Linked DNA regions of Canis lupus familiaris. The protein of the gene in region 2 interacts with the protein of the main gene of each other region in a pairwise test. Links are inferred from orthologs where the notes say so. Each region holds a gene or a part of one and is shown on either strand. Other genes may lie near its edges.

Region 1 (7,890 bases), on a different chromosome or scaffold from region 2:
GTCAGGCTCCCTGCATGGAGCCTGCTTCTCCCTCTGCCTGTGTCTCTGCCTCTCTCTCTCTCTCTCTCTCTCTCTCTCTGTGTCTCTCATGAATAAATAAAGTCTTAAAAAAAAAAAAAGAAACACATATCCTCTGTAGAGGACATGGTGAGTCAACTCCGGGTAGCAGAAACGTAGCCCCTACTTTGAGACCCTCTGTGGGCTCAAATGACGTCATCTTGGCAAGACTCAAGAATTGTGAGACCTCAGCTAAGATGCCATGTTGTGTTGGATGTCAGAAGACTCGAGTCCACATCCCAGCTGGCTTACTCCCCAGTGAGACTGCTTGCTTTGCTGCCCCAGGCCCGCTTCTTTTCTTTTCTTTTTTTTTTTTTAAGATTTTATCTATTTATTCATGAGATACAGAGAGAGAGAGAGAGAGAGAGAGAGAGGCAGAGGGAGAAGCAGGCTCCATGCAGGGAGCCCGACGTGGGACTCGATCCCGGGTCTCCAGGATCATGCCCTGGGCTGAAGGTGGCGCTAAACCACTGAGCCACCCAGGCTGCCCTTTTTTTTTTTTTTTTTTTTTGCCAGGCCAGCTTCTTTTACCCATTTGGTACAATTGGGCCTCGGCGGCCTGGAAAGTGTATGACATGGAGTCCAAATGCAATTTGGGAGGATTCCTCTCCTGTGTCTGAGGCTCCATCCTTCCTCCCCACGCTGTTTCCTCGCCCTGGGGACAGCTGGGGGTGAGGATGGTGAAATGAAGCTTAATGAGTAACCTATGAGACTGGCCAGGGTGAGTGTTTGGCCACCATAAGCGTCAGGGACAGGGACTGGCTGACGAACATAGCTCTGGGATCTGGGACGGGATGGGTCAGTGACCTGGGCCACCTCTCCAGTCTTATCTGCTCTCTGATGGAGACATCCTGGCATCCCCACCTCAGGCTCTTCCAAGTCAGGTGCTCTGGAGCTTGGCCCCTCCACTTCTGAGCTCTGGCTCCGCCACTGCGATGGGACCTTGGGAAAGTGACTTGGCCTTTCTGAGCTAAGTCTGATTCCCCAAAAGAGGGTTTGTTACAACATACATCTCTCCAAGGTGTTGCAAGCATTCTGTGATATGATGATGTCATGTTCCCAAACTTCGAACATTCATTGCCACCTTTGCAATTTCTACCATATTGTGGTGTCACCTCTTATAAATACACTAATACCAACAATAGCATCGAACACAGAGCACTTTCCACTGTTCTAAATATTTTATATATATTAACTCATTTGATCCTCACAAATGAGTTGCCCACTAGAGAAGTTGTAGTCTATCCACATCTTACAGTTGAGGAAACAAGGCACAGAGAGGTTAAGAGATTTACCCAAGTTTACCCAGCGGGTAAGTGGCAGAGCTGTGTTTTGTGCCAGACCCCGGCTCCATGGTCTGTGCTCTGTGAGGCACCCTGCTCCTTCATCCAGAAACTAGTGCCACTGCTATGGCTACTACTGAATATTAAAAACAAAAAACAATGGATTGCATTTTAAGCATCGATTCCTGCCTTGGCTTCTTCCAAAACAAGAATATCTGTGAAATCATGGATTTGGTATTGTGTACAGGTGACCCTTGAACCATATGGAAGTTAAGGGTGCTGTCCCACCTCATGAAGTCAAAAATCTGTGGATAACTTCTGACTCCTTCAAAACTTAACTACTAAAAGCCTATTGTTGACCAGAAAGTTTACCAATAACAGGAAGTTGATTAACGTGCATTTTGTGGGCTCTATGCATTTTATACTGAATTCTTATAATCAAGTAAGATAGAGGAAATACTAAGAAAATCATAAGGAAAATATATTTAAAAATACATTTACAGTAAAAATACATTTACAGTCCTGTGTTGTAAAAAATCCACATATAAATGGAATTGCGCCATTCAAATCCGTGTTGTTCAAGGGCTGTCATGTTTCTTGTCCAAGTCTAAGCTGTGTGCTAAGGCCCCACTCCTCCAGGAATCCCCCTGATTCCACCCCAACCCAGGTGCCCTATGACGATCTTCTGCTCTCTGTCTTCCTGGGGGTGGTAAAATTGTCACTGCATTGGATGGTTTCCTCTCCCCCTAATCCAGGGGCCACCCCAGGACACAAACTCGGTTTTGCCCCTTTGTCCCCAGGGCCCAGTCCAGGACAGGACGCTTGACAAGGATGGGTACATGTTTAATGGGAGGATGGTGATGAAGCTTCCAGAGTCCTCATCGAGGATCATGGCCAAGCAACTCGACTTGACCTCAAGCATCCAGGAGTTAATCATCAAGCCTGGGAAGGTCACACACAGTCCTAGAAGGGCAAAGAACATCTCAGCTGCCAGGTCTTTCCTGGAACTCACCTCCCATTTTGTAGAGAGGAAACGTGAGGCTCAGAGATGGATGTGACAAGCTCAGTTTCACCCAGTGAGATGGTGACAGTATAAATCTGATCATGTTATTCCTCTGCCTACAGCCTTCTATGGTTCCTTAGTATTCCTGGGTAAGGTCCAGGAATGGCACAGGCGTCCCTGCAGAGTCTGGTTCTGGCCCATATTCCCAGCCCCAAACCTGCTTTCCCAGCGTCCTGGCGTCAGGTAAGTGTAAGTTACCTGCTCTGAGTGTCCACAGCCCTGTCCCACCTCTGCCTGACAATATCTGAGAGCACCGATTACAACTGCTCTTTGGTGGCCCCTTGGGACTTCATGAGAGCAGGGGACATGCTATATTGTTTGAGGCTAAAGTCCCAGGGCTCAACACATAGTAGGTGTTCAATAAATATTTGTTGAATGAATGAATAATCAGAGCCCTTCATTTGAACGATAAATCATTGTTTGGGTTCCTTTGTTGGATGTAAAATATCAGGGGTGAGGAGGTGCTTCAGAAAAATTAGGCCTTTTCATGTGGCAGATAACAATTGTTTCTTTGTCTTTTGACCTAAGCTGACCCTGACAGCAGTGGGGGTGGTGGCCTGGCACTCAGCGCAAACACTGGACTCAGAGTAAAATCTGGATGTGTCTGTGTCACAGAAGAGGTGGTCCAGGGTGTCTCTCGCTGGCTGGGTGACCTCGGCCCAGTGAGTCTCCCTGCTGGAGCCTGTATCATCAATGAGACCAAGGACAGTGCAGGGGGAGGCAGTGGACCTTGGTCTTGTTCCTTTCTTCCTCCAGCGGGGCGCTGTCCCTTTAACGTGGGAGGAGGGGCCAAGGCTGCGGGAAGTTGCCAGAAGCTGGGAAGAGCTGGTGCCCTCGCAGGCTGCAGGCTGGTGGGCAGCAGGCTGGAGCCGGGCTGGGTCTGGGCACTGTTCAGCAGGCAGGTAAGAGGGCCTGACACCCAAATGGTACCGCTGGGGCTCTGTGTGCGTTTGTGGAATGTGAACACAGGGTAGTCTGGAAGGTTCTGGGGCAAGGTCCAGAATGAGTGGACAGAAAGTGAGGAGGTATGGGTGCAAAGCCCCCCTAAGAACACTGATTTCACTCAGGGTTTCACTCTAGCCTGCCTTGGAGAAGAAGGCTGGGGGTGCCACAGACTCTGATGGCTGGGGAGCAGGTCCTGCTTGCCAGAGGGGCAGGGCTGGGCACTCTGCCAGCGCGAGTTTCCTGGCCTTGGCATCAGGGATTTGGCTGTAAGGGTTACCCAGGTGGCCTCTGGAAAAGCCTGAGGGACAAAGGAGGCAGAAACAGGAAATGGTCCTTACCCCAATTCACAGATGCATTAGGTGAAGCCCAGTGAGGAAAGGTGGCATGGCCAAGGTCGTGCCTGCTGGGACCTGAACCCAGGCCTCAGGCTTTTCACGGCATTGCTCCACAGCAGAGAGGGCCCAGGGCTCCCACCTCAGCACCCGTGGTGGCCACATGCTGCAAGAGCTGTGTGTCCCTAGGCCAAGGTCTCACCTTGACTCTAGACCTTAGTCTGGGAGGCCTGTGCCCTTATGGGCATCTGGGCTTGATAAGGGCTATTGGAAGTTTGGGGCCTGTTCATTTGACAGGGCTGCTGTCCTCCTGTGGGCTGTTAGGATAAGCAGGAGGCCTGGGGAGCCTTGGGACTGAGCTGGGAGCATTTGGCTCCTAAGGACACCTGGCAGTTAAGTATGAAATGCTCACGCCTTTCACCACTACCACCACCACCGTCATTATCATCACCTAGTAGAGAAAGTATGGCACGGTGCTACGGGCACAGATGCCAAAGTCCACTGCCTGAATTTGAATCCTGGCCGTGCCATTCCCAGCTGTGTCACCTCGGACAGGTTACTTAACCTCTCTGGGCCTCAGTTTCATTATCTATAAAATGGAGCTAGTAAGTGAACCTGTCTCAGGACCGTTACGATGATCTTATGAGATGGTATATGTGCCAATGATCTCGTCATAGAGCCTGGCTGGCAGGAGGTCCCACACACTGTTAGCTAATATTATATGTCAGGCATGGAGCTGAAGGCTTCACAATATGGCCTCACTGCGTCCACAGTGATTCTGTGATGTAGAAGCTCTTCTCCTAGTTTGCCGCGTGGTTAGTTCATTCTTATTTTTCAGGTCTCGGTGTTAATGGTCACTTCCTGCAAATAGGCCTTTCGTGACCTCTCTATCCACAGTAGGTGTCCTTGTTCTTCTCTTTAAGACTCCCTGTATGTGTGCGTTCCTCTTGGTAGTTTTCACCATTTTTGATTATTTTGTTTGTCTATATGGTTATTTATCAAACACTGATCTCCACATCAGCTCCGTGAGGGGATGTCCGTCTTCCTCAACAGGGTAACCCCAGTTCCCAGGTCAGGGCCTGCGCCTCGCAGGTGCCCTGTAGACATGCGAGAGAAGGGGTAAGCACGCCCGCATAGTTAGATGGCCCCAGAGAGATGATGCCTCTAGAGCGCTCAGCTGATGGCTGACGTAGAGTAGGGCAGGAGGGAACATGACACAGAGAAATCGAGATGCTAGTTGGGGTCACACAGCGAGGAATACAGAGCTGGTTTCTAACTTTGGTCACTGATTGACCCCTACGCCCGGAGCCAAGGTGAGGCCCAGGCTGAGGTCTGCTGAGTTTGGGTGACCCACAGGTTCCCTCTCCGATGCCATGTTCAGTTTGAGAAGTGCCCTGATGGAACCGGGTGGAGACTCTGGCTCAGACTCTGCCCTGCCTGGGGGATCCCAGGGCCATCCCAACAAGGGCCTGGGGTCAAATCTAGGGGCAGGAGACCTAGAACCCTCTGGTGGGGTGGGCAGCTGGGAGTAGGTAAGGGTGAGCAGGAAGCTTGGGCCCGTGGAGGATGGGGAGGCTGCAGCACGCCTCCTACTGGCCATCAGTGAAACTGCAGGGCTTGGCCCAATGCTTTTCTGACCCAAAGGAAAAAAAAGGGGTTGCATTTGCTCCTTAAAAAAAAAGAAAAAAAGACAAACAGCCCTCTATTTCTCCACTCTTCTCATTTCTTCCTCTTCTGTTTCTCACCTTTTACCACCGATTCGTTCACTAACTGTGCCTTTGCTTAAAACCTCCCGATGGCTTCCCAGGACAAGTAGAATTAGAATAACATCCCAGCTCCTCAGCGTGGCACGTCCTTCCCCAAGTCCCTGCCCACCTCTCCTTGCTCAGCTCCTACACCAGATCCCTTCTCCCCACACCAGCAACGCCCCAGGGTCATTTCTCTCTCAAGGTGTTTCCACCTGCTGTTCCTTCTGCAGGAATGCGTTCCCCTGGGCTCCCTGCTGTCACTCATCTCGAACATCTCTCTTGGAGAACTTGCAGATGGAAAGAGAATTCAAAGCCCTCTCTGCCAACCCAATACTCACAGATCTGATTTGCATCCTGATTCAAACTGTTAGAAACCCCAAATCACTGACAGCAAAACCAACTGTTTATCCCATTTAATGAGATGATTGGAAAGGTGAGCAATTATGTGACGATATTGAGAGATGATTATTAATGTTTTTAGATGTGATAATGGTATTGTGATGATGTGGTTTTTTTTAATTAGCGTCATTGAGATATGGTTTCTATAAAATAAAATTAGCCAGGGATGCCTGAGTGACTAAGTCAGTTAAATATCTAACTCTTGGTTTCGGCTCAGGTCATGATCTCAGGGTTGTGAGATGGAGGCCCCCATTGGGCTCCATGCTGGACATGGAGTCTGCTTAAGATTCTCTCTCTCCCTCCCTCTGCCTCAGCTTCTCCTCCACTTGCTCCCTCTCAAAAAAAAAATAAGTCCACTTTGAGTAAGAATTCCGTGAGTTTGCACAAATGTATACAGTTATGAATCCATATGGCTACTGTTTAAAAAAAGTTCTTAAGGGACGCCTGGGTGGTTCAGCAGTTGAATGTCTGCCTTTGGCTCAGGGTGTGATCCCGGGATCCGGGATCGAGTCTCACATCCGGCTCCCTGCATGGAGCCTGCTTCTCCCTCTGCCTGTGACTCTGCTTCTCTCTCTCTGTGTCTCCCATGAATAAATAAATAAAATCCTTAAAATAAAGAAATAAACCTAGTTTTACAAAAAGAGTTCTTTGCTTTTAGAGATCTGTGCTGAAGTATTTACAAAGGAAGTAGTATAGGAAAAAATATATAATAAGAATAAAGGATAAGGGGCACCTGAGTGGCTCAGTTTGTTAAGTGTCTGCCTTTTTAGCTCAGGCCAAGATCCCTGCGTTCCCATATCTAGCCCTGCCACATCAAGCTCCTTGCTCAGTGGGCAATCTGCTTCTCCCTTTCCCTCTGCTCCTTCCCCTACTCATTTTTTCTCTCTTGCTCCCTCTCTTTCTCCCTTGCTCTCCCAAATAAATAAAAAATCTTGGGTAGCCCGGGTGGCTTGGGTTTAGCGCCGCCTTCAGCCCAGGGCCCGATCCTGGAGTCCTGGGTTCAAGTCCGAAGTCGGGCTCCCTGCATGGAGCCTGCTTCTCCCTCTGCCTGTGTCTCTGCCTCTCTCTCTCTCTCTCTCTCTCTCTCTCTCTGTGTGTGTCTCTCATGAATAAATAAATAAAATCTTTTAAAAAAATCTTAAAAAAATAAAGGAGGAAAAACCCCATAGCACAGGGTGGGGGTGTGTGTGTGCAGGTGTGGTTGAAACAAGACAGGCCACGAGTGCTCGCTCAAGCTGAGAGATGGGCTACACCAGGGGTTCATTATACAGTTCTCGACATTTTGCTATGTTTAAATTCTCCATAATACAAGTTTTAAAAAAGTTTTTCTCTCTTGAGAGACTGTTTCTGACCATGCTTGCTGAAATACTGCCTCCCACCCCCATTGCCCGTTTGAAATTTTGTGCTTCTGTCTCCCCTACTAGAATGTGAGCTCTGGCAAAGCAGGGGCTGCCTCTGACATGTGCGCTCCAAAATCTGGAACCTCCTGGCACATAGTAGGTGCTCAATGAAAAGAGGTGTTTTTTTTTTTTTTTTTGCATGCATACCTGAATGAATGAAGAATGAATGAATGAATGAATTCTCCCACCATCATTCATTCATCACCATGTATTGGCCACCTTCTACACCCCCAGCACTGTGGGCTGGCACAGTTACAGAATGAAAGGGTCCCTGGTCCAAACCTTTTTGTCCAGGTGGGGAAACAGGCCGTGGCAGCTGGATAGGGCTAAGGAGCCTAATGGAGGCTCTTCTCCACGTTCCCCTCCTCCTGGTTAAGGGGACTTTGGCTGGAGCTGCCTGGGCTATGGCATTGGTGTTCTCCTGCAGGCCCCCTGGGGGTTGCTGGGATGGATCACTCTCGAACAGGCTGTGCTAAGGCTGAGCACTTCCACGTGGTCACGCCTCTGCTGGAGAGCTGGGCACTTTCCCAGGTGGCAGGTGTGACTGTCTTCCTCAAGTGCGAGAATGTGCAGCCGGCCGGCTCCTTCAAGATCCGGGGCATTGGGCATTTCTGCCAGGAGGTGAGGTGTCAGCAGGAGGGGAGAAGTGAGCCAGTTCTTGGG
Region 2 (6,298 bases):
TGGGAAGGATCTGTACCCATGAATGTTCAGCAGTAGTAGCTTCTAGGAGGAAAAAGTAGGACCCTCACTCAGTAGGCTGCAAGCATTTGTTGAGTGGCTGAAGAGTAGGATGTTTTAAATCTTCTGTCACAGATTTGGGAACACGGTGAGAGACTGTTGGTTTGTGAACCAGGTATTTTCACATCCCAAAACTAGAAAACAACAACAAAAAAAGAGCCTTATCAAATATGCTTTCCCAAGATTTTCTTCAAAGAAATAGGAATCAGGGCAACCTGTGATCTACGTAGTGTCATCTTCTAAAACTCTTAAGTTTCTTTGACTCTTCCACTAAAGTCGCTTAGGAAAAATCTGCTTGAGGACAATTAGGAGACAGAAAGAACAATAAAGTGCTTTTTAAAAAATAGGACAGACCTCTGAGAAAAGCCAACCACCGCTGAATCTACTGGATTAAAAAGCTAAGAATTAGAAGGGGCGATCACCTTTCCCAAATGCAGAAGCTGGGGGGCCAGTGAGGCAAGGGTGCCTGAGGCTGCACAGCTGGTTAATGTCAGAACTGGGAACCAACTACTGCTCAGTTCTTTCTTCCAGCCCAGCTGAGAACTAAAAACCCATCTCAGCATCAGGAGTTTTAGTATTTTACTATGATGATGGCTTTTACTAGAAAATAAGCTTCCTTTGAATTAAGAGAGCTGATCAGACATAGCCCTTCATGTCTCTAAGCCTTAGTTTCCTTGCTTATAAAATGAGCTACTTGGATGAGACAGTGGCTGATGTCTCAGCTCTGGAATTACAACTTGTTAAACAGCCACATTCATGGAGTCCCCACACTTCCCTAAGGCTTGTTCCTACCTGCCCAGAGTTCCGCCAGCCTGGGTGTAGTATTTGTTATAATCTAGCCGTAAGAGCAGTTGAGCCAAATCTGAGTTGATCTGATGGTTCCGAACACTGGAGAGAATCTTGAATAGTAGTGAAGACTGGCGGCTAAAGCCCTGCAGAGAGAAGGACTCAGGCTGTCATTCCTATTCCTCTCAGACTCAACCAACTGTCCATGTGGAGTGAGGCTGGGGGGGGGGAGGGGAGGGGGTTCCTTAAAAAACTTGCTCAAAATTCTCCAGCACCAGCTGGCCTTCCCACAGCCTCGCTTCTATTAGCTCCTAAAAGGTCGTCTTAGTACTGAGTCCACGGATGGCGTGGCTTTGAGTGAAAGTACACTCCCATTCTCAGGAGGAAGTTAGCATCTATTCTGTTGATTACTGGGGCTGGGGAGAGCCTGCGCATTTTTGTTAGAGTCAGATAATTACAATCCCAGCGAAACGGAGTTCGTTCAAGGAAGGAGGTTGGATAGGAGGTTGTGAGAACAAAACCAATGCATGTTTGTGGGCTGAAGAAACTATTCACGGCCAAACTATTTTCAAATGCTGAGATGGCACATAACTATCTGCTTCAAAATGAACTGATGCCAACATTTTTATCTTTGTATCTTCTTATTTCTGTGTGTATATATGTATTGGGGAAATGCTTTATTGACCCAGAGGGAAAGATCATGACTCCCCATTGGCAAAACAAACCTCTACCCTTTGGACAGGGCTGCATACTGCCAACAGCCAGGCAGACTCACCTTGACCAGGATGCTCAGCTGGGCAGCCCCACGTTCATCCAGTGGGCCCAGGTTCTGACTGACCAGCGAGCAAAAGCTGTGACAGAGATCTAGGATTTCATTCAGGCAGTGAAACACCTACCCAGGAAATAGTTGGTATTAGGAAAAGAAGGAAGATAAATCTATGAGATTAGAGATCTGGGAAAACAGTCTGAGAGTTACTTTATTCCCATTCTTTGACCTCAGGAGAGACTGTCACGTATGAGTCAGTCCTGTGGGCTCCTCGAAATACAACACGTGTAACACCAACTCTTCGCTTTCTGGCAAAGATGCTACTATTCTGCTAGTAACCCCTGCACAAAACTTCCATTCTAGCCACATCAAATTAGGCATCGTCTCTTGGACCCACATGTGCTCCAGCCCTGAGCTTTGCTCAGAGTTACTCTCCTTAATGCCAGTTCAAGTTCTCTTGGTGGGGCACTCCCTTCCCCCCTGTAGCCTCTAGTGACCCCCCTGCTTCTCTATTATCTGTACTGTTCTCTTGGCATCTGTTCAGGCCACCTGTGTTGTTACTAGTCTGTGTATGTATGTATGTTCTGTTTCTCCAACTAGATTGTGAGCTCCTTAAGGGCAGAGCCATGACTTATACCTCTTTGTATCCCCAGTGCCTTGCATAAAGTAAGCACTCAATAAATATTTAATGGTCACCACCTGCTCTGATCTTCTGCTTTTCCCAAGGGTGTACTCATGCCACACGAGGGTAGTTGGCCTGTCACAGCGGCTTTTGGTGTTGTCCATTCACACAAACAGCCCTTGGAGTGGCATCTGTGTAACCTGCTCTCCCTTACTGAGTGCAGCAAAAATAGCTCCGAATACGAACAAGAGAAGTCTAGTGTTTGTGCTGTGGCAGGACTGAGGGATGACAGCTGGCTGACATCAGGGATGAAGCGGAATCTACGTAACTGTGAGGGGTCATTTCAACCTTCCCACTTTTTATTTGAGAATTTTCATGTATTTGTGAGCTTTAAAAAAACACAGGTGCCTGGGTTTCACTCCGGAGATTCTAATATAAGTGCTCGGGGCCCCAGATTTTTTGAAGCTTCTAGGTGATTCCCATGTGTAGGCAAGGCTGAGAGTAACTACCCTAAAGGAGAGGTACATATGTACACAAAGGGAGACACTATTCACTTGTCTGTGAAAACAACTCTCAACTGGTCAATCCTGATCCAAAAGATTTCTAAGAAAGTAAGCACTATGTGCTTTTCATTAGCCCTTCTGTGGTGTCAGAAAAGTTTTATTTAAAATTCTTTAAATTCTTCCCTTTGAGGGCTAAGCACATATTCTTTCTTCTATAGCTGCGCACCACATCCTGAGGATATAGTATTTCAGAAACTCAAAGACATTTAAGTTCCCTTTTAACAGTCCCTTATAGTTTTGCTTTAAGTTGTCAGAAAGGTTTAAAAATGGAGATTGAACAACTGTTGAATGATAGTTCCGTATCCTGGCAACTCGGGACCTAAGGGAACAGTCAGGGTGGAAGCAGTCTGAGGAAGCCCAGAGCCCTACTTACAGGTTTCAACAGGATAAAGGACTGAGCCAGCAGATTGCTAAGGAAGTGGTCATGAGCCAATCGGATGCTTTCAAAGTCACGGGTAGAATTGATCTGATGCAGCAGCTGTGAGAACTGAGACTCCAGCACATCTACCTGATGGGCAGTGAACAGATGCTTTCAGTACCTGGCATATTCTAAGCACTCAAGGACATTAAGATGAAATACAGTATGAAAGAAATTCTTGGAGCCACTTTAAAGCCGCGCAGAGGCCATATTACCTTGCCTTGTAGCAAGTTCTCTGCCTAATGCCTCATAACCCCAAAGTTCTGGCAGATCCCCCACTTCACGCCATATCGCCTCCACTGACTAACCTGGTTAAGTCCTACAGATTCCAGACGGCCTAGCCAACTAAAACTAAGGATCGAATCAGCATTGCTGACAAGAACCCTAAGCTCATTCTCCTTCATTTATTCCCACTTTCCTTTAAAATGCCGCCAAGAAACCCCTCCCAACGATCTAACCTGCATTTTCTCAACCCCCAACATCTCGTCCAATGCAGGACTGCAGTTCCTCTTTGGTAAATCCTGCTCATGTCCCAGACTTTTTTTCCCTACCCCTTCCTCCCATTCATCCCCTGACCCAGACCTGGAGATAGTACTGAAGATTATCCACCAAGAATGCCATGTGATTTCTCAGGCGCCACTTGACTGCGTCAGTCTGGTTGGACTTGAGGTGCTTGCGCTGCATCTGTAGGGCCCAGCAGTGCTGCAGCTCGGCCTGCACCCGGCGCACGCTCAGTAAGTACTTGAAAACAACATTGTACCTGGGACACAAACGGCAGGCTATTCAAGAATAAAACTTCACTTCCCACCTCACCTGCAAGACAGACCCCAGGACTCTGTGCCTGCCGCCCGTGCCCCAAAATGTAGGAAGGAAATGAGAATGGCTAGAGCTATGGATGAATTTGCTGTGGCTTATCAATATGGTGGGTCATTACATGGCCGCTAAAACGACTGCACTTCATCCGTTCAACTTAAGGCGGCTCCAGGCAATGGGATTCTGATTAAAAGGAACACTCAGGTTACATACAGCCTGATATGCTTTGTTTTATAATGCTTGAAACAACTGGGTAGAAGAAAAACATATTTTGAGGGAATATACATATAGATATAAAACTAAATATTAAAAGGACAAAAAAAAAACCGCACCTGGGTGGCTCAGGATTTGAGCACCTGCCTTTGACTCAGGTCATGATCCCAGGACTCGGGATCGAGTCCCACATCGGGCTCCCCACAAGAAGCCTGCTTCTCCCTCTGCCTATGTCTCTGCCCACCCCCCCCCCCCCCCCCCCCCCCCCCCCCCGTCTCTCAGGAATAAATAAAATCTTAACAAAATAAAACAAAATGAACAGAAAACAGTGTGGGAGAATGGTTACTTTGGGCTGAGGGAGCCAAGGGAGTGAGAGTGGGAAGACCACAGAGGCAGACATTATTGTCGGTGTTCCAGTTTTTGTGCTAGAAAATGGTTTTGCGGCATATGTGTAAATAGGAAGGAGGGTCTTGCATGGACCAATAATCAGAATGTGTTAGGAAGCAAGGATTTTGGTTAATGTGATGCTCTGTTCCAAAAAAGAGAACGCAGTGGAGGCCCCTTAACTGCTGCCTCAAGGCAAGCTCAGGGGCTGCTTGCCAAATGCCGAGCCCCATACCAAGAACACACATGGGAAGAACAGCTGATTCCTAGTGGAACTGGATCTGTTTACTTGTTCGTAGGCAGGCTTACAGACACCAATCTGATTTGGTTTTAAAATTACCTATTTCTAATGGAACAACATAGTAAAAAAGTACACCTTGTTTGGATTCTGATTTGAACAAACCGAAACATAAAAAGACATTTTTGGATAACTGGGAAAATTTCAATCTGTACCAGATAAGGACGTATTGTTAATTTTATTGGATGTGATAACTGCATTGTAATTACATTAAAAACATGCCTTTTCTGAATCGCATAGCGATGGAGGCAAATGACCTGTCTGGGATGTGCTTTACAAGGTTCTAGCGAAAAAAAGAAGAGATAAGACAAGCAGAATGTTGATAGTTACTGAAGCTGGATAATGTACCTGTGGGGGATCATTATAGTCCACACTTTTGTTTATATTTGGAAATTCTCATAATAAAAATTAGTTTTTAAAACTACATCTGAGATTGATTTCTTCAAGGGTGTTCAGAGTGTATCAAGTGAGGATGTAAGTGGACTGTTTGCTTGTGGGACACTGGGACACTGGGTTAAGACAAGGTCTATACAGCTTGCTTAGGTGGGCTGTGGGCTCTGAACCTGCCAGAGAAATCTCCCTCAACCAGCCTTGTTTTTGCCAGTTCATACCTAGGCTCTCATGCCCTAAGCTTCTCTACCCCAAAAGGTAGAGAGGACTGAACAGGAGCAGAGATGAGAGGCCCTTTTGTTCACATATTTCCCTTTTCATCCTCTTCCTCTAGTCCAAGCATAACAGCTGCCATCCTCCAACCAGCACGAGGGCCAGTGCCTTGACCTGTGTGACAGGATCTGAGAAATTCTTAAATGGTGTGGGGACGGATTTCACAGGCCACCATAGCCAGGCCTGCTTCTCCTGCCTCCCCTTCCCTAGAGCTCTTGGTCCTTGGGTTGGGGATGTGAGGTCCACATGAAGCTGAGCAGCAGCATCTGGCAGGCTCTCAGGATCAAGAACAAAGCTGATCCAAGAGTCTCTCACCACCTTGGTCCAGCTCCTGTATTCTATCCCCAGCTTAGCTGTCCTCACTGCGTCTCCCTGGGAGGAAGGAAGTGATCTTCTCTGCTGTGGCTCAAGTCCACAGCAAACACTTAGGAGGATAGTCTTCCCAAGTAGACCCACAAAAAATTACAAAAGTTAGGGAGGAAACAGCTAGTCTGATGGAACTAAACAAAGGCCAGATTCTCCATGTGGTGCCCAAGACTGCAGCTTCCGGAGGTCACAGATTGGCAGCCTGTAAACTACTTACTTTGCAACTTAAAAAAAAAAAAAAAAACAACAACAACAGGGGCACCTGGCTGGCTCAGTTGTGGGGCCTGAGACTCTTGATCTCAGGTTTGTAAGTTCAGGCCCTATGCTGGGTATAGAGATTTCTTAAAAA
Region 3 (7,281 bases), on a different chromosome or scaffold from region 2:
GGTAAACCTTTGGTTTGTGTGACTGCTTCCTTCTGGTGGTGTTCCCCTAAGACCCATTCCCAGAGGGAAAGAGCTCTTATCACAGGCTGGGCCATGTTAAGTATGGGGCGTGGGCATAGCAGACATGCTTGGAGAGAAGGGGTCTGGTCTGGGCAGAGAAGCCTTCCTGGAGGGGTTGATGACCTGAAAGATAAGTTAGAGTGAGTCAGGTAAAAGAGAGTGTTCCAGGCAGAAGGACCAGCATGGGCAATGGCCCGGAGGTTGGGGGATGCAGAATGGCACCAGGCCTAGAGTCTGGACAGGGCTTCCCTCCCGCATTCATTCGTTGATGTGGTTCAGGAAAGGCCAGGGATGCCCACCAGGGCTCTGGGAGGCTTGGGAGCCTGCTAGACGTGGGGCTGAAGCTTGAAGCTTGATCCGGATAGACCGAGCTCAGTTCAAATTAGAGCTTTGTGACTGGGCTCCGGGTGGTGGCTTAAATCTCCTCCTCTGTATAGGGGGTGCCTGCATGCTCTGCTTTTGCAGTGTGCTCCTCAGGGTCAGTGAGCACAAAGCTGGGAAGGGCTCAAGACAGAGGTCTGGCTGTCCTGCAGATGCAGTGTTTGCACATGACCGATTTCTGCCCATGAGTCCATCCCTGCCTCTCAACCACAGGACGTGGCCTGAGGTCCAAAAAGGGCTGGCCTCTGATCGGTTCTGCAGCCTTGGTCTTTCAGGACTCCCTGGGGGTGAGGGAGCTGACTTGGAGGTGTTGGGGTACACAGGACCCCACAAGGACCTGCAGACCAACAGTGTGGTCTCCTTGGGCATGGCCTCTGGCCTCCAGCCTGTCTCCCCAATAGCTTCTTTCCCCATGAGCAGCCAGAGGGACCCATTTGAAGATGCAAGTCTCAGTGTGTTCCTCCTCAGCACATAGCCCTGGGGACTCCCCTCCGTCTGAGTACAAGCCCAAGCTGTCCTGGCAGCCGACCCTTTACGCTTGCGCCCGCCCTGATTTTCTGCCTTTGTTTTGCACGGCACTGGGCTACACCCCTGTCTTGCTGTGTTCTGAGTGAACCAAACATCTCCTGCTCAGGCCCTGGTACTGGCTGTTCCCTCCTTCCCGCCCTTCCTGCCTCTCTTCTGAATATACTGTGAGTGAGGCCCTCCCGGCCACCTGGACCAGCTGTTGGCCCTCCCCTCCCCTTCTGCACCTCTTGCCGGCCCCATGGTAAGAGCACCGATCCCACAGATACCCTCAGAGTTCTCTCAGAACACACAGATGTTTATGTGTCTCCTCCATGAGGGGGGGACCTGTACCTGCCACACAGACAATTCAATAAATGTGTGTCACGTGAAAGAATGAAATGGGAAGAGGCATCTGCCCACAGATGCTCCCTGCTGCCTTAATGACAATCCCCCCACCCCAAACCAGGCAAGGCCTGGTGTCCAGCCCAGAGCAGGAAGTGGGAACATCCCTCCCAGAGTTCTGTAGCAGGTAGAGTTGGCATGGCAACTGTGTAGCAACCAGCAGAAATAATTTGCTACAATGTGGCATCAAGAAACAGGGTACAGATTTGTCTCACCCTGGTTGCAATTTTGTAGAGATCCACTGGGTGCAGAGAAAGACCCCTTCCTGCAGCGTCTGGGAGGGGGGAGGAAAGGAGGGGGGAAGGAGCAGATGGGAGAAGGGAGAAATTATGGTCACATCTCGGCTTCCCAGCTCCTGGCTGCATGGCTGCATGGCCTTCGGCAGGCCCTTTATGTCCCGGGCCCCTTCCTCTTCTGCAAAGCAGGTGGAGCCCCTGGTGCAGACTGAGGGAAGGGTAGAGGGCGGTGCCCTGTATAGGCCTGGCATGCAGGGGGTGCTGGGCTCCTGTTGGCTGACTCCCTTCTTCCTTCTTACTGACTGACAAGGGCTGAGTGGAAACATGCAGGTCCTGCTAGGTTGTCACTGGACTTGTTTTCCATTTGATTGTATCTTTAATGTGGTTACATTGGCTTTGCAACAGGGAGGTGGAAGGAAGATCAGAGAGGAGGAAAGGGCCTCCCCTGAGATCTGGGAAGCTCTGCATTTTGGTAGCACAACCTCAGGAAAGGAGGCTCTGAGATGTGGGAGTGGGAGTTGGGGTTCTGGAGCCTGCCTTGGTGTGAGTCCTCAGGGCTACCTGCTGGGTGGCCAGGGTCATGCTTTGGACCCGACTGCAGGCAGGCCAGTCCCACGTACCTTGCAGCCCCGGTACCAGCACCATCTGGGGAGCTTCCTCTGTGGTCACCTCTCTGGGCCTTCGGGCATCAGCTGGCTGCCTGGCCCTGGCCAAGTCCCCACAACGGTCCCCACCCCTGGGCTGCAGTGTCCGATCGGCCCAGGACCGACCCCACCTGTCCCTGGCTGTCTTTCAGGAAGACCATGCTCAATGACCTCCTGCGGTTCGACGTGAAGGACTGCTCCTGGTGCAGGTAGGTGGCCTCGGAGCCCTAAGCACCTTCTTCCCCCTAGAAACCGGTAGCACTGTGCCAGGCCCCAATCACCAGCGGAGTCATGCTGGGGAAAGCTAGAAAGAAGCTTCGAGGAGGAGATAACAGTGGCCCTTAGCGTTCCTCTCTCTCTCCTGGGTTCCTTCTCCAGTCCCAACTCCGATTATTCTGAATCCTGTTAATTACAGGCATCTGTTTCATTGGTTGCAAGTCCTCAAATTCTGCCTGCGGAGAGCCCTTCCATCACTAGGCCTGTCTCCTGGGCCAGGGGCTGCTATGGGAGGTGACACAGGGTGGGGGGGCGTCAGCTTGTGGGTCCTTCCAGGACCGACCCTGTGTTGCTGTAGGATGCTGCCCAGGGGCTGACAGCACTGGCTCTCCTCCCCTCCGTGCCCCTGTGGGGCCCATCCTCTGCTTGGAGACCCCACATGGGTAGTGGGCAACAGGCAAGCCCTGGCCGCCTCCCGCAGATGGCCCTCCCAGCTGTGTGGCCTTGGCCAAGACACCTGCCCTCTCTGCTCATGGCATACGTGTACCCATCGGCTCCAGTCTGCAGCCTGCCCAGGGGGCAGCTCTCAGCTGAGGGGGAGAAAAGGGATCTCAGGATTAGGAGACACTGGGCTTCCTCCTGAGCTCTCCCATCTGCTCGTGCAGGAGTACAGACCCATCCAGCCACCTGGCTGCCACACTCTGCACAGGAGCTCTGGTGTAGCCCTCAGTCCCCCGAGTCCCCTCTGTGGTGGGGTCTCACCGCCCCTCTTTGGTGAAGGAGGACATCCAGGCCCAGGACCCACACCCTCCAAGCCTGGCAAACCAGGGTGGCATCATTGTGCACCACCCACCTTCTGCTCAGGAGACCTCCGTAGCTCTGGGATCACGAGAGAAGTTTTGTGTTGTTCGTCTCATCCTGGGTTTCATAACATAGCCCATAGTTATGGATCAGTTTTAAAAATCACCCTACAAACTGTACAATCCTTTACTAATGATTGCTTAAGGATAAAACTCTGAAAAGGAGCAGCCCCAGGAAAGCAGTATAAAGGGGTTTTTAACTCACTAAGTCAAGTGTGTGGCTGACCCCTGCGGATGGAAGCCAGTGCCGTGAAAGGACACTGGCCGTGAAAGGACAAGGATAGCTGATCCCGGAGTAGCCGGAAGACCTACTGTTTAGTTCAAAAAGCAGGTGTCATAAGATGCCTACCACATGACTCCACTTAGAAAATTACTCAGAGACATAAATACGCATAGGAAAGGTGTGTGGAGGGGTGACCTAAAGGTATAGATGGTGGTTTCTGGCAAAGGGATTATATGGAAGTCTCAGTGCTGGTTTTGTGTTTTTTCCTTATCAGCAACTTTTGTTAAAAGTTTCTATAATGAGGGGGCGCCTGGGTGGCTCAGTCGGTTAGCGTCCGACTCTTGGTCTCAGCTCAGGTCTTGATCTCAGGGTCATGAGTTCCAGCCCCATGTTAGGCTCCACGCTGGGCCCACATGGAGCCTACTAAAACAAAACAAAACAAAACAAAACAAAACAAAACAACCCATAAAATAAAGGTTTAAAAAAAACCTTTTCTTTTTTTAAGTTTCTCTAATGAGATAAGTATTGCCTACTAGATGCAAATATAAAAGGAATCCTGGGCGGGGGCGGGCTGCCCGGTGTGGCGTGGACCGCACAGCTGAGCCCCGCTGACACCCGCTGCCCCGTTTCCCCCCACCAGGGCCTTCACCACTGGCACCCCACCAGCCCCCCGCTACCACCACTCGGCCGTTGTCTACGGAAGCAGCATGTTTGTCTTTGGTGAGCTGCCTCTCCTCCTGGGTGCCGTGCCCTCTTCGGGGCTCCAGCTCCCCTGTCCCGCCACCAGGCCTGGGGCTCCTGTGCTGTGCATGGCCAGCCTCTGTCCCGCCTTGTCCTCTGTCGGAGTCCTCTGAGTTCCTGCACTGGGCTGGGGGCCCCTCAAGGGCCTCGTTCCCTCATTGTCCCGATCTCATGGGGTGACTGCTCGGGAAGGTGGCTCTCCTCCCTCCTCTGTCACTCTGCCAGGGGCAGGGGTCTGTTCATTTCTGTGTCCGAGCCTAGCACAGAGTCAGGCACGCGGTAGGTGCTCCCTGAGGCTTAGGGAGGGAGTCCCAGAGTACATCTTAAGTGAGGCTGGATTCTTCTCCCCCTGCCTTTGGGTGTGATGGTTTCTCGCTCTCTCTACCCAGGGGGCTACACTGGGGACATTTATTCCAATTCTAACCTGAAGAATAAAAACGACCTTTTTGAATATAAGTTTGCAACTGGCCAATGGACGGAGTGGAAAATTGAAGGACGGTGAGAGACTTTGCTGAAACCTTTGGGGGCTGTCCCGATGGCTACGGCGCTGGGTCCCTGGTGGCAGCTGGCCTGCGATCTGGGCCCTGTAGCTTTACAGGAGAGCCCGAGGCTCAGGAGGCTTGAGTCGTGCTCATTCCCAGCTGTGACTGTCTGAGGCCCCCTCCCTGCTCTTGGATTCCCTGCTCTCAGAGAGCAGAGGAGCCCCGGTGCACTGATGGGCCCTTCTCTGGTCCTGTTTTGCCAGGACCCTCCCCCACCCCGACTCTGATATTTCTGTGTTGGCTGGGAGAGGCCTTTACCCTGGGGACATGGGACATCTGAATTCCTCATCCCACTGCCCCGCCTCATGAACCCAGCCTCATGACCCCCAGCTGGCATCCCCAGAGCCCTGGTGTTGGCAGATGTAGGCATGGCAACCCTGGGGTCCCGGCCCGCCGCTTGGGGTTGTGAAGCTCGGGTCTGTGCTGGGTGGCCTCACTCCTCACCCCCTCCCCATGCTGCAGGTTGCCAGTCGCTAGGTCTGCCCACGGCGCCACGGTGTACAGCGACAAGCTGTGGATCTTTGCTGGCTATGACGGCAATGCCAGGTAGGTGGTGCCTGTGCACCGGCCTCTGGGCAGCCCTGTACGTGTACCGAGGGGGGCCTTCCTGGCATGGGAAGGCTCAGGCTGGGGGTTTCTCAGGAGGGTAATGTGGACAGGAGTGAGGGGAGGGTGGGATGGAGGTGGAGGGGAGCTGAGTGGAGCTCCCACCCAACCCCACAGCCCTGAGGCCCCTCCTGGGGGCATCCGAGGGGGCGGCAAGCCTGGCCCATTTTTGTGCCGCTCAGAGTGTGCTGGTCTCCACGGCAATAGGTGGCCTAGCTGGTGTCAGAGCTGGGGGAGGGGGGTGTGCGTCTGAACTGCCCAGGTGAAAATACTCGAGCTCAAGGTGAGCAGGTGGTGGCAGCAGCAGGGCTCAGACCCGGCCCCTCCTCTCTGGATGACAACATGGGGTTCCTGCCTACGTAGCAGGGACTGGATCTACCTCCTTCCTTTTTTTTTATTATTATTATTTATTTATTTATTCATGAGAGACTGAGAGAGAGAGAGAGAGAGAGAGAGAGAGAGAGGGAGGCAGAGAGAGAAGCAGGCTCCATGCAGGGAGCTGAACGCGGGACTCGATCCCGAGAGAGAGAGAGAGAGAGAGAGAGAGAGAGGGAGGCAGAGAGAGAAGCAGGCTCCATGCAGGGAGCTGAACGCGGGACTCGATCCCGGGTCCCCAGGACCACGCCCCGGGCCGAAGGCAGGCGCTAAACCACTGAGCCACTCAGGGACCCCCTATCTATAGAAAATTGGCTTCGCTGCATTTTTCTGGTTACAAAAGTAGCATGTGCTCATTCCCTGAGATCTCAGCATTATAGAAACTCCAAGGGGTGGGGCGCCTGGCTGGTTCAGGTCTTGGAGCTGTGAGTTTGAGCTAAGTGTTGGATATAGAGATTACAAAAAAAAAAAAAGAAAAAAAAAAAAGAAGAAGAAGCAGCAGCTCCAAGAGGTGGCAATGTTAGTGGTGGTTTCTGGGAGCTTTGCCTCTGAAGTCCTCTCTAAGCCCCAGGGGTGAGCCGAGTGAGACTGACCCTGCCACACTGGTGAGACATTGTGAATGATGGTGTGTGTTCCCTGGGTGGGGAGCTGGGGGGCCACATAGCAAGGGTTCAGTGCAGCCCCTACCCTGAAGCTCCCACCTCATGGCTGCTCCCCAGGCCCCTGATCAGAGTCCTGCATGATGTGTCGTTCCCTGGAGCCGTCCCTCCTGGCTGGGCCTAGCCCACCCTGCCACCATTCCCAGCTGTGGAGATCCTGACACTCGTCCCTCCATGCCCCCCCCCCCCCCCCCCATCCTAATGCAGGTTGAATGACATGTGGACCATTGGCCTCCAAGACCGGGAGCTCACATGCTGGGAGGAGGTGAGGGGCACAGGGAGAGGCGATGGGGGGCAGGGGAGGCCGGGAGGTAAGGGGCACAGGGCGGGGGGCTGGGGTGGGCGGGGGTAGGAGCTGCTTTCTCCCCCTTTGCCGAGGCCAGGCCTCACCCTCCCTGCTGACTTCCTGCCCAATTCCAGCCGCACTGACCTAGTACTGGCAAAAGGCTCTGGGACGCCTGGGTAGCTCAGGGTTTGGACGTCTGCCTTTGGCTCAGGTCGTGACCCCGGGGTCCTGGGATCGAGTCCTGCATTGGGCTCCCCACAGTTAGCCTGCTTCTCCCTCTGTGTCTCTCATGAATAATGAATAAAACCTAAATAAATAAATAAATAAATAAATAATAAATAAATAAATAAATAAATAAAGGCTCTGTGGCTCAGATGGCAGCTGGTCCTGGTGACTGGTGCAGCCTGGGTACTTGTGATTTGAGCACAGCGAGCTCAGCCTGCTGGCGGGTGTCCTGCTCGCTGCCGTTTCTGGCCAGTCGATCTGACTGCCCTGCCGTCTTTCCCCTGGGGTGTCTTTCCCTGGTGGTGAGGATTCTTAGCA
Region 4 (7,281 bases), on a different chromosome or scaffold from region 2:
AAACAAAGTGACTGAGTCTCAAGTCTGCACATTTCAGCTCATTAATGAAATGGGAAGAGTTTTAGTGAGAAAACAGGAAGATTTAAAGGATTCAGCAGTTTCAAAGGAAGTATTCAATAATGCTCTGATCACAAAAGAATCACACAGGAAAGGAATTTTTTCCTTCTAAATATCCGTGTCCTGGTAATGAATTTCTAAGACTAATAGTCCAGCCCAATCAAAGCTATTTATTAATTTTCTGAAGATGATATAATTTTCTGAAGATGGTACAATATTCTGAAGATGATTTTAATTTTCTGAATAAAAATGCCACAGGACAAGTGATCGAAATGCCAGTTTAATATGAGCTGAGGACTCTTTCTTCTGTTATCACAGTTATCCACATAGCCCCAAAGATGGTGGAACCTTAACATACTCCGATCATCTGTGCCTCCATCAATTGAGTAAGTGATGAGCTGGTAACACCTCTTTTTTTGGCCATCTGAGTCCGTCTATTATTTCCTCCTGGACTTAGCTCATGATTCTCCTCTTACTGAAAACTTATCAGGATTTTTAGTCTGTTCTTCTCTCATCTTTTCTTTATAAACTTCACGTTTTAACTTGCCTTTATCAACGAGTTGTATTTAGTGCTCTTCAAGCATTTCAGATTTACAAATGTGTGTCCACTGGAATGGAGTGCCTACATTGGTATGTTTCAAAACTGCTACATAATCCCTCCCTCCGTCAGCCTCTACAATTCCTGGAGGCGACTGGAGGGGTATCACTAGATATCAAACGATAGTATCTTTTTTATAAATTGGAGACTAGGTAATGGAAAAAAAGGATGAAACTAAATCACATAGCAAATGTGGCTAAAATTAAGACCAGAACTATTAGCACCACTTAATACTATTTTCTTAAAAATCTGTACAAAACATGGGGTGCCTGGGTGTCTCAGGTGAGCATCCGACTCTTGATTTCGGCTCAGGTCATGATGTCATGTCATGGGATCAAGCCCATGTTGGACTTCCCACTCATCAGGAAGTCTGCTTAGGATTCTCTCTCTCTTTTTCCCTTTTCCCCTCACCCCCTCTCATGCTTTCTCTCTCTCTCTCTCTCTCTCTCTCTCTCTCTGCCCTTCTCTTTCTCTCTTTTTTCTTGTTCTTTCTCAAATAAGTCTTTTTAAAAAATTTGTACAAAGCATTATTTTTTTTTAAATATTTTATTTATTTATTTAGGATAGTCACAGAGAGAGAGAGAGAGGCAGAGACACAGGCAGAGGGAGAAGCAGGCTCCATGCACCGGGAGCCTGACGTGGGATTCGATCCCGGGTCTCCAGGATCGCGCCCTGGGCCAAAGGCAGGCGCCAAACCGCTGCGCCACCCAGGGATCCCCTGTACAAAGCATTATTGAAGAGAGGAGGCCAGCTGCTAAATACACAGAAAGTAACAGTACCTATGTCTAAGAGCTTGAAGAGTACCTGAGCAAATAGGGAAATGGTAAGTAGGTAAGAGGCAACTGAAATGCAGTAGGAAGCTTCTCAGACAGACTTGAGGATGAGTTACTAGCACTCATACTTAGTGAATCAAAAGATGTCCATTCCTTCCTTTCCTCTCCCCAGTTCTTACTTGTCCCTGTCCAAGGTATTGTTTCTCCCAAGTTCATCTGTTGGGATGGGCATGGATATTGTTGCCCTGAGAAGAGGTCCTGAGGTATATATGATAGGTGATTCTTTTTCTCTCGAGAGGATGCTCACACAGAACATCACCTATCTGGACAATCAATCCATTTATACCCCTCCCACACACATAATCATCACACTCCATATACTGGAATACTATTCAGTGATTTTTAAAGAAGAATGGCGGCAAATAGGCTATTAATTCACAGAACAACCTAGATTAAGCTCAAATGCATTATCTAAATGAAAGAAGCCAGACCAAAAGGCTCTGGACTGTTTGATTCCATTCCTAGGTTATTTGGAAAAGGCAGAACTATACGGATAGAAAACAGATCAGCAGTATATCAGAGGTTTGGAGAAGAGGCAGTATCCGACCAGGGAAAGCCCAGGAGAGGGCAAGTATAGACCTAATCTGTATGGCCCTGTAATGGTGAATATATGATGCTTTGTATTTGTCAATACCCATAGAATTTTCCAGCACAAAGAGTAATTTTTTAAGCCAACCAAATCAGAGGATCCCAGGATGGAATACAAACTGTGACAGAAGAATTTAACTATTACACATGTGTGAGATAATCTCATAGAAGGGGGTGGGGGTGGGGAGTGGACACTAACCTAAGTAACTTTTTAAAACAGGGCTTTCTTTGAATGGAAACTGTAAGCCCTAAGTCCAAAACACCATACTAAACACTGTACTCTAGCTGGCAATGTGGTTTGCCATGGTGATGTGGGGTAATAATTCTAAAACTGCTATATTTGTAACCTCAGATTGAATAACCAAAATAAGGGCAGATGGAGGGATCCAGGTTTTTCACCATTTTTTTCACCAACAAATACAGGGAAAGCTAGAATGAACCATGTGAGACTGGATTAGATTCAGAGACAATAGTACAAATTCGTGTTTAGCTTCATATAGGAACAGATGGATAGATATATTTACAGATGTGTGTGCATACTAAGGGAAGTGTATGTACATGTATTGCCTGGCTCTGTTCGCTGAGGGGCTCTATTCACTGGAAGCAGTGACACCCCAGTAACAGTGAGCATACCCGGCATCCAGATATTAGTTTCTAATTTTAGCTTCTAATATCATTAGCCAGTTAAAGGAACCAGGCCCCTTGGAGACATGGTTGATTTTAGGGCAAGGGCAGGGAATTTACAAGATGAACCTGGAGTCTCTTGTAGTGTTAAAAAGTAAGGACGGGCTTAAAAAATAAGAGGATGGAGGCTTATGAAAGGGACAGAGCAGCCAGTATGAAAGGACTCTCAGTAACTAAAGCTAGAACAAACAGAGAAACAAAACAAAAACATAGTTTGGGATTATAATCCAAAGTATGAAATAAACACCCATGATTCTACCCATACTGACACAACTAAATGACTGAAGAAGTAAATAGAATATGCAAGTCTCCTGTGCAGAAGAATTCTGTATACTCTATGTAGGTGCCCCCTCTCATGGAAGTAGAATGGTCTTCTAAGGATACAGTTTGGAAAGCAACAAAGGAAGGGGAGTGTAACTTTGTAGTGCGGAAACCTGGTAAGCACAACCTGGGTCAGGTGACCAAAGTCAGCATCATCAGTAATAAGCCACTGATGATGATAGGCATGCTGGATATGATGGGATAAAATTGGTACCTTAATCTGTGATCTGCCCCTGCCCCCAAACCAATAACCTCAGTTTAACCATGAGAAAAACATCAGACATTCCCAGTTGAGGGACATTCTGCTCCTTAAAACTATTAATGTCATCCAAAACAAGGAAAGTCTGAGAAATTATCACAGACCAGAGGAGATTAAGGAGACATGAAAAATAAGTATGAGGTATCCTGGATGGAACCCAGGAACACTGGGGGGGGGGGGACAATGAAATTAACATAAACTGTGAAGTTTAGTTAATAGCAGCGCAAGATATTGACAAGACAGTAAGGGATAGATCAGAGCTCTATATATTCTCCTTGCAATCCATTAATCTAAAACCATTCCAAAATTAAAAGTTTATTTAAAAGAAAGGGTTATAGGCCAAAAGTCTAAGTCCAGGACTGATTGGATGGAAAAAAACAAAACCTTGTCTTTCATCATAGATACTTCGGGAACTACTGATGTATAAAGCATATGCTCTAGGACAATTTTGACTTGTTCCTCTAGTTTGAAATCCTCTATTATACTGAGATGGTTTTGAACTCCTTTGCTACTTGCTCAAATGTATTTTTCTCTTAAAATCCTGGAAGTATGAAGTCACAACACTTTGTTCTTTGTTCTTTTATCCACCCCCATCATATTTTGCTGCAAACCTTGTCATTGTCAAGGCACAGCTGACTGGCTTTGTAAGTGGTTTGTGATTTCTTTCCGTTCCTAGTATTCCAGTGTTATTAGGTTCGTTAAAGGGAACATTTGGGCTTGGCAGCTTGTGTCACTAAGATTCAAGTATAACCACATCAATTACTAAGCCATCCAAACGTCAGCGATGATGATACGAAAGTGTGGCTCTAGCAAGCATTATAGTTAGACGCTTAATGAGAATATCATATGTGATCACGAATAAAATCTCACAAGTAATCTTCATGCTGTTCCTTACTTACAGTTCAGAAAGTGCCTCTTCCAGAAAATCTGATAACTTCAGTTTTCATAAGTATTTCATAAAAGGGTAAAAAAAAAAGTGTGTGCCCATTTCTGGGAATGTTAATATTCAAGTTACCGTGTTTACTGGCTTTGCAAATAATCTGGATAAGGAATATAAAAGTAATAAATATGCTTTTTCTAACCAGTTGTAGACTTAAAATTATAATCAGCTTATTGTTAGATGGTTAGGGTTTATTATTTAAGGAGGGGAAGGAGTGAGGCGGAGGTTTCACTTACCTGGTAAATAAGACAGTGATTGCTTGTATAGTCTTCTAAATGGCTTTTGATGTTTAATTGATCTCTCTGTTGAGATAGGTAAAAGAAATTTTGCAATTTTCAATTATGTAATATTTAGCTCATTTCACCACTGAAATCAGTCAACAGGTTTTTTGTTTTTGTTTTTGTTTTTGTTTTTTTTAATCATTACTTTTTAGAGTATGTTCCTAGGGTCTTTTCTCCTTGTGGTTGAAATTAGATGGAGTTGGGGTGGGATTCCAACATCAACTTGAGAGCATGAAATGTTTTCTTTAAATGGCATTCCTTTTACTATTCCCAGACAATCGTTAGAGGAAATAAACCGTGCAAGGAAACCTCCATCAACGGCCTGCTGGAGGACTTTGACAACATCTCCGTGACTCGCTCCAACTCCCTACGGAAGGAAAGTCCGCCCACCCCAGACCAGGGGGCCTCCAGCCACGGTCAAGGCCATCGTGAAGAAAATGGCTTTATCACCTTCTCACAGTATTCCAGCGAATCCGATACCACTGCTGACTACACAACTGAGAAGTATCGAGAAAAGAGTCTCTATGGTGATGATCTGGATCCATTTTATAAGGGCAGCCATGTGGCCAAGCAAAATGGGCATGTCATGAAGACAAAACATGGGGAGGCCCACTATCCTGAGATGAAGCCTTGGAAATCTGATCTTGCCAGATTTCCCCTTGATTATCACACCCACTTGGACTCCCTGAGCAAACCAAGTGAATACAGCGACCTCAAGTGGGAGTACCAGAGAGCCTCAAGCAGCTCCCCTCTAGATTATCCGTTCCAATTCACGCCTTCTAGAACTGCGGGGACCAGTGGGTGCTCCAAGGAGAGTCTGGTGTTCAGCGAAAGTGAGTGGGGACCCAGCCTGGATGACTATGATAGGAGGCCAAAGTCGTCCTACCTGAATCAGACCAGCCCTCAGCCTACCATGCGGCAGAGGTCCAGATCAGGCTCGGGGCTCCAGGAACCCATGATGCCCTTCGGAGCAAGTGCATTTAAAACCCACCCCCAAGGACACTCATACAACTCCTACACCTACCCTCGCTTGTCCGAGCCCACAATGTGCATTCCAAAGGTAATGTTCACTGCCTCCTTCCCTCCCATGGGCAGGCACCTCACAAAGGTGGTGCTAGCATGACCTTCTCACAGAGTCAGATTCTAAGGTGAAGGTTTGCCTTTTAAGTGAGAATCCATATTGAAACGCTACCTGATTTCCACGCACAAGCCCCAAGGGCAGAGGATATAGAGCAAGGAACATATATTCATTAAAATCAAAGTCTTTGGAGATCTCCTCGAGGGTTTCTGATTAAAAGGCAAAAAAAAAAAAAAAAGTTTATTTGAAAGATATCCTGATATACTACTAATAAATATTGTGTGCTCCTATTAGACTAAGTCCTCTTTTAAGGAGCATACGATTATAAACCATTAGATGGCTAATATTGTAGTTCCCACTTTCTGGCAAAGTTTATAAGGATCTGTTGAAAAGGAAAAAATAAAGTCAGGATTATCATGGTAAGTTTTTAATAAAGTTCATTTTTAAAAATTTAATAATTTTCTAATTATTAATTTTTTTAATTTTATAATTTTTAATAAATTTTAATTTAATAACCATTCTAACAGGTATGGGGTTGTATCTCATTGTGGTTTTGATTTTCCCTGATGTTGAGTCATGTCTAGAACCTTTCCATGTACCTGTTGACCATTTGTATATCATCTTTAGAAAAATGTATATTCAGGTTCTTTGTCCAAATTTTGATTGGGTTATTTGGGATTTTTTTTTTTTTTTGCTATTGAGTTGTATGAGTTCCTTATATATATTTTTAACCCCTTATCAGATATGTGGTTTGCAGATGTTCTCTCCCATCCCATCAGTGTCTTTTCATTTTGCTAATGTTTTCCTTCATTGTGCAGAAGCTTTTTATTTTGATGTAGTCCCACTTTATTTTTGTTATTATTGCCTTTCAGTGTCAAATACAAAAAAGTCACTGCCAAGACCAATGCCAAGGAACTTACCAATATTTTTCTTCTAGGAATTTTATGGCTTCAAGTCTTACATTCAAATCTTTAATGCATTTTGAATTAATTTTTGTGTATGGTATAAGACAAGGGTTCGGTTTCATTCTTTTACACCTGCCTGTCCAATTTTCACAGCACCATATATTGAAGACTGTCCTTTCCTCATTTGTATATTCTTGGCTGTTTTGTAAAAAATTAACTGAATCTATATATATATATTTCTGGTCTGTGATCTGTTCTATTGATCTGTGAACCTGCTTTTTTTCCAGTACCATACTATATGTTGACCACTATAGCTTTGTAATATAGTTTGAAATTAGGAATCTTTGTTCTTCTTTATCAGGATTGCTTTGGCTATTTAGGGTCATATATGATATTTTATATGTGATATATTTGAACACTTATGGTCAGAAGCTCTTTAGGTCAAGATCACAAAGTTCCGTCCAGAGGCAATAATGTTGCAGCCCTGGAGCCATACTTGGCTTCTCGACCCGTTGAGTCCACCAAGTAGTCATTTTCAACTTCTGAAAAATCAAAATATTTCACTTAAAATCTTCAACTTCTGGGTTTTAGGATTCTCTTTAAAAAAATGGGATGATCTGGGCAGCCCTGGTGGCCCAGCAGTTTGGCGCTGCCTTCAGCCAGGGTGTGATCCTGGAGACCCGGGATCGAGTCCCACGTCAGGATCCCTGCATGAAGCCTTCTCCCTACCTGTGTCT

Evidence for each region.
Region 1: the proteins of TUBGCP4 (region 2) and SDSL interact in a two-hybrid assay, tested with the Homo sapiens proteins (2 studies listed by BioGRID and IntAct). The two-hybrid records come from large-scale screens. The link is inferred for Canis lupus familiaris from reciprocal best matches to the Homo sapiens genes TUBGCP4 and SDSL.
Region 3: the proteins of TUBGCP4 (region 2) and LZTR1 interact in binary tests that used the Homo sapiens proteins (3 or more experiments, as listed by UniProt). The link is inferred for Canis lupus familiaris from reciprocal best matches to the Homo sapiens genes TUBGCP4 and LZTR1.
Region 4: the proteins of TUBGCP4 (region 2) and PAK5 interact in a two-hybrid assay, tested with the Homo sapiens proteins (2 studies listed by BioGRID and IntAct). The two-hybrid records come from large-scale screens. The link is inferred for Canis lupus familiaris from reciprocal best matches to the Homo sapiens genes TUBGCP4 and PAK5.

The regions. Positions count from the first base shown.
Region 1 is NC_049247.1:11,072,624-11,080,513, forward strand, and holds the start of SDSL (serine dehydratase-like), read left to right. Parts: upstream 1-3,159; 5' UTR 3,160-3,305; intron 3,306-4,518; exon of another isoform or gene 4,519-4,576; intron 4,577-5,658; 5' UTR 5,659-5,849; coding exon 5,850-5,861; intron 5,862-7,251; coding exon 7,252-7,327; intron 7,328-7,654; coding exon 7,655-7,848; intron 7,849-7,890. UniProt on the Homo sapiens protein: Catalyzes the pyridoxal-phosphate-dependent dehydrative deamination of L-threonine and L-serine to ammonia and alpha-ketobutyrate and pyruvate, respectively. Also exhibits racemase activity towards L-glutamate and D-glutamate.
Region 2 is NC_049251.1:10,549,522-10,555,819, reverse strand, and holds part of TUBGCP4 (gamma-tubulin complex component 4), read right to left. Parts: intron 3,973-6,298; coding exon 3,795-3,972; intron 3,303-3,794; coding exon 3,168-3,302; intron 1,736-3,167; coding exon 1,619-1,735; intron 990-1,618; coding exon 850-989; intron 192-849; coding exon 179-191; 3' UTR 1-178. UniProt on the Homo sapiens protein: Component of the gamma-tubulin ring complex (gTuRC) which mediates microtubule nucleation.
Region 3 is NC_049247.1:30,678,441-30,685,721, reverse strand, and holds part of LZTR1 (leucine-zipper-like transcriptional regulator 1), read left to right. Parts: intron 1-2,382; coding exon 2,383-2,439; intron 2,440-4,169; coding exon 4,170-4,249; intron 4,250-4,659; coding exon 4,660-4,768; intron 4,769-5,274; coding exon 5,275-5,358; intron 5,359-6,659; coding exon 6,660-6,717; intron 6,718-7,281. UniProt on the Homo sapiens protein: Substrate-specific adapter of a BCR (BTB-CUL3-RBX1) E3 ubiquitin-protein ligase complex that mediates ubiquitination of Ras (K-Ras/KRAS, N-Ras/NRAS and H-Ras/HRAS).
Region 4 is NC_049245.1:13,085,423-13,092,703, forward strand, and holds part of PAK5 (serine/threonine-protein kinase PAK 5), read left to right. Parts: intron 1-1,233; exon of another isoform or gene 1,234-1,475; coding exon of another isoform or gene 1,476-1,478; intron 1,479-4,835; coding exon 4,836-5,621; intron 5,622-7,281.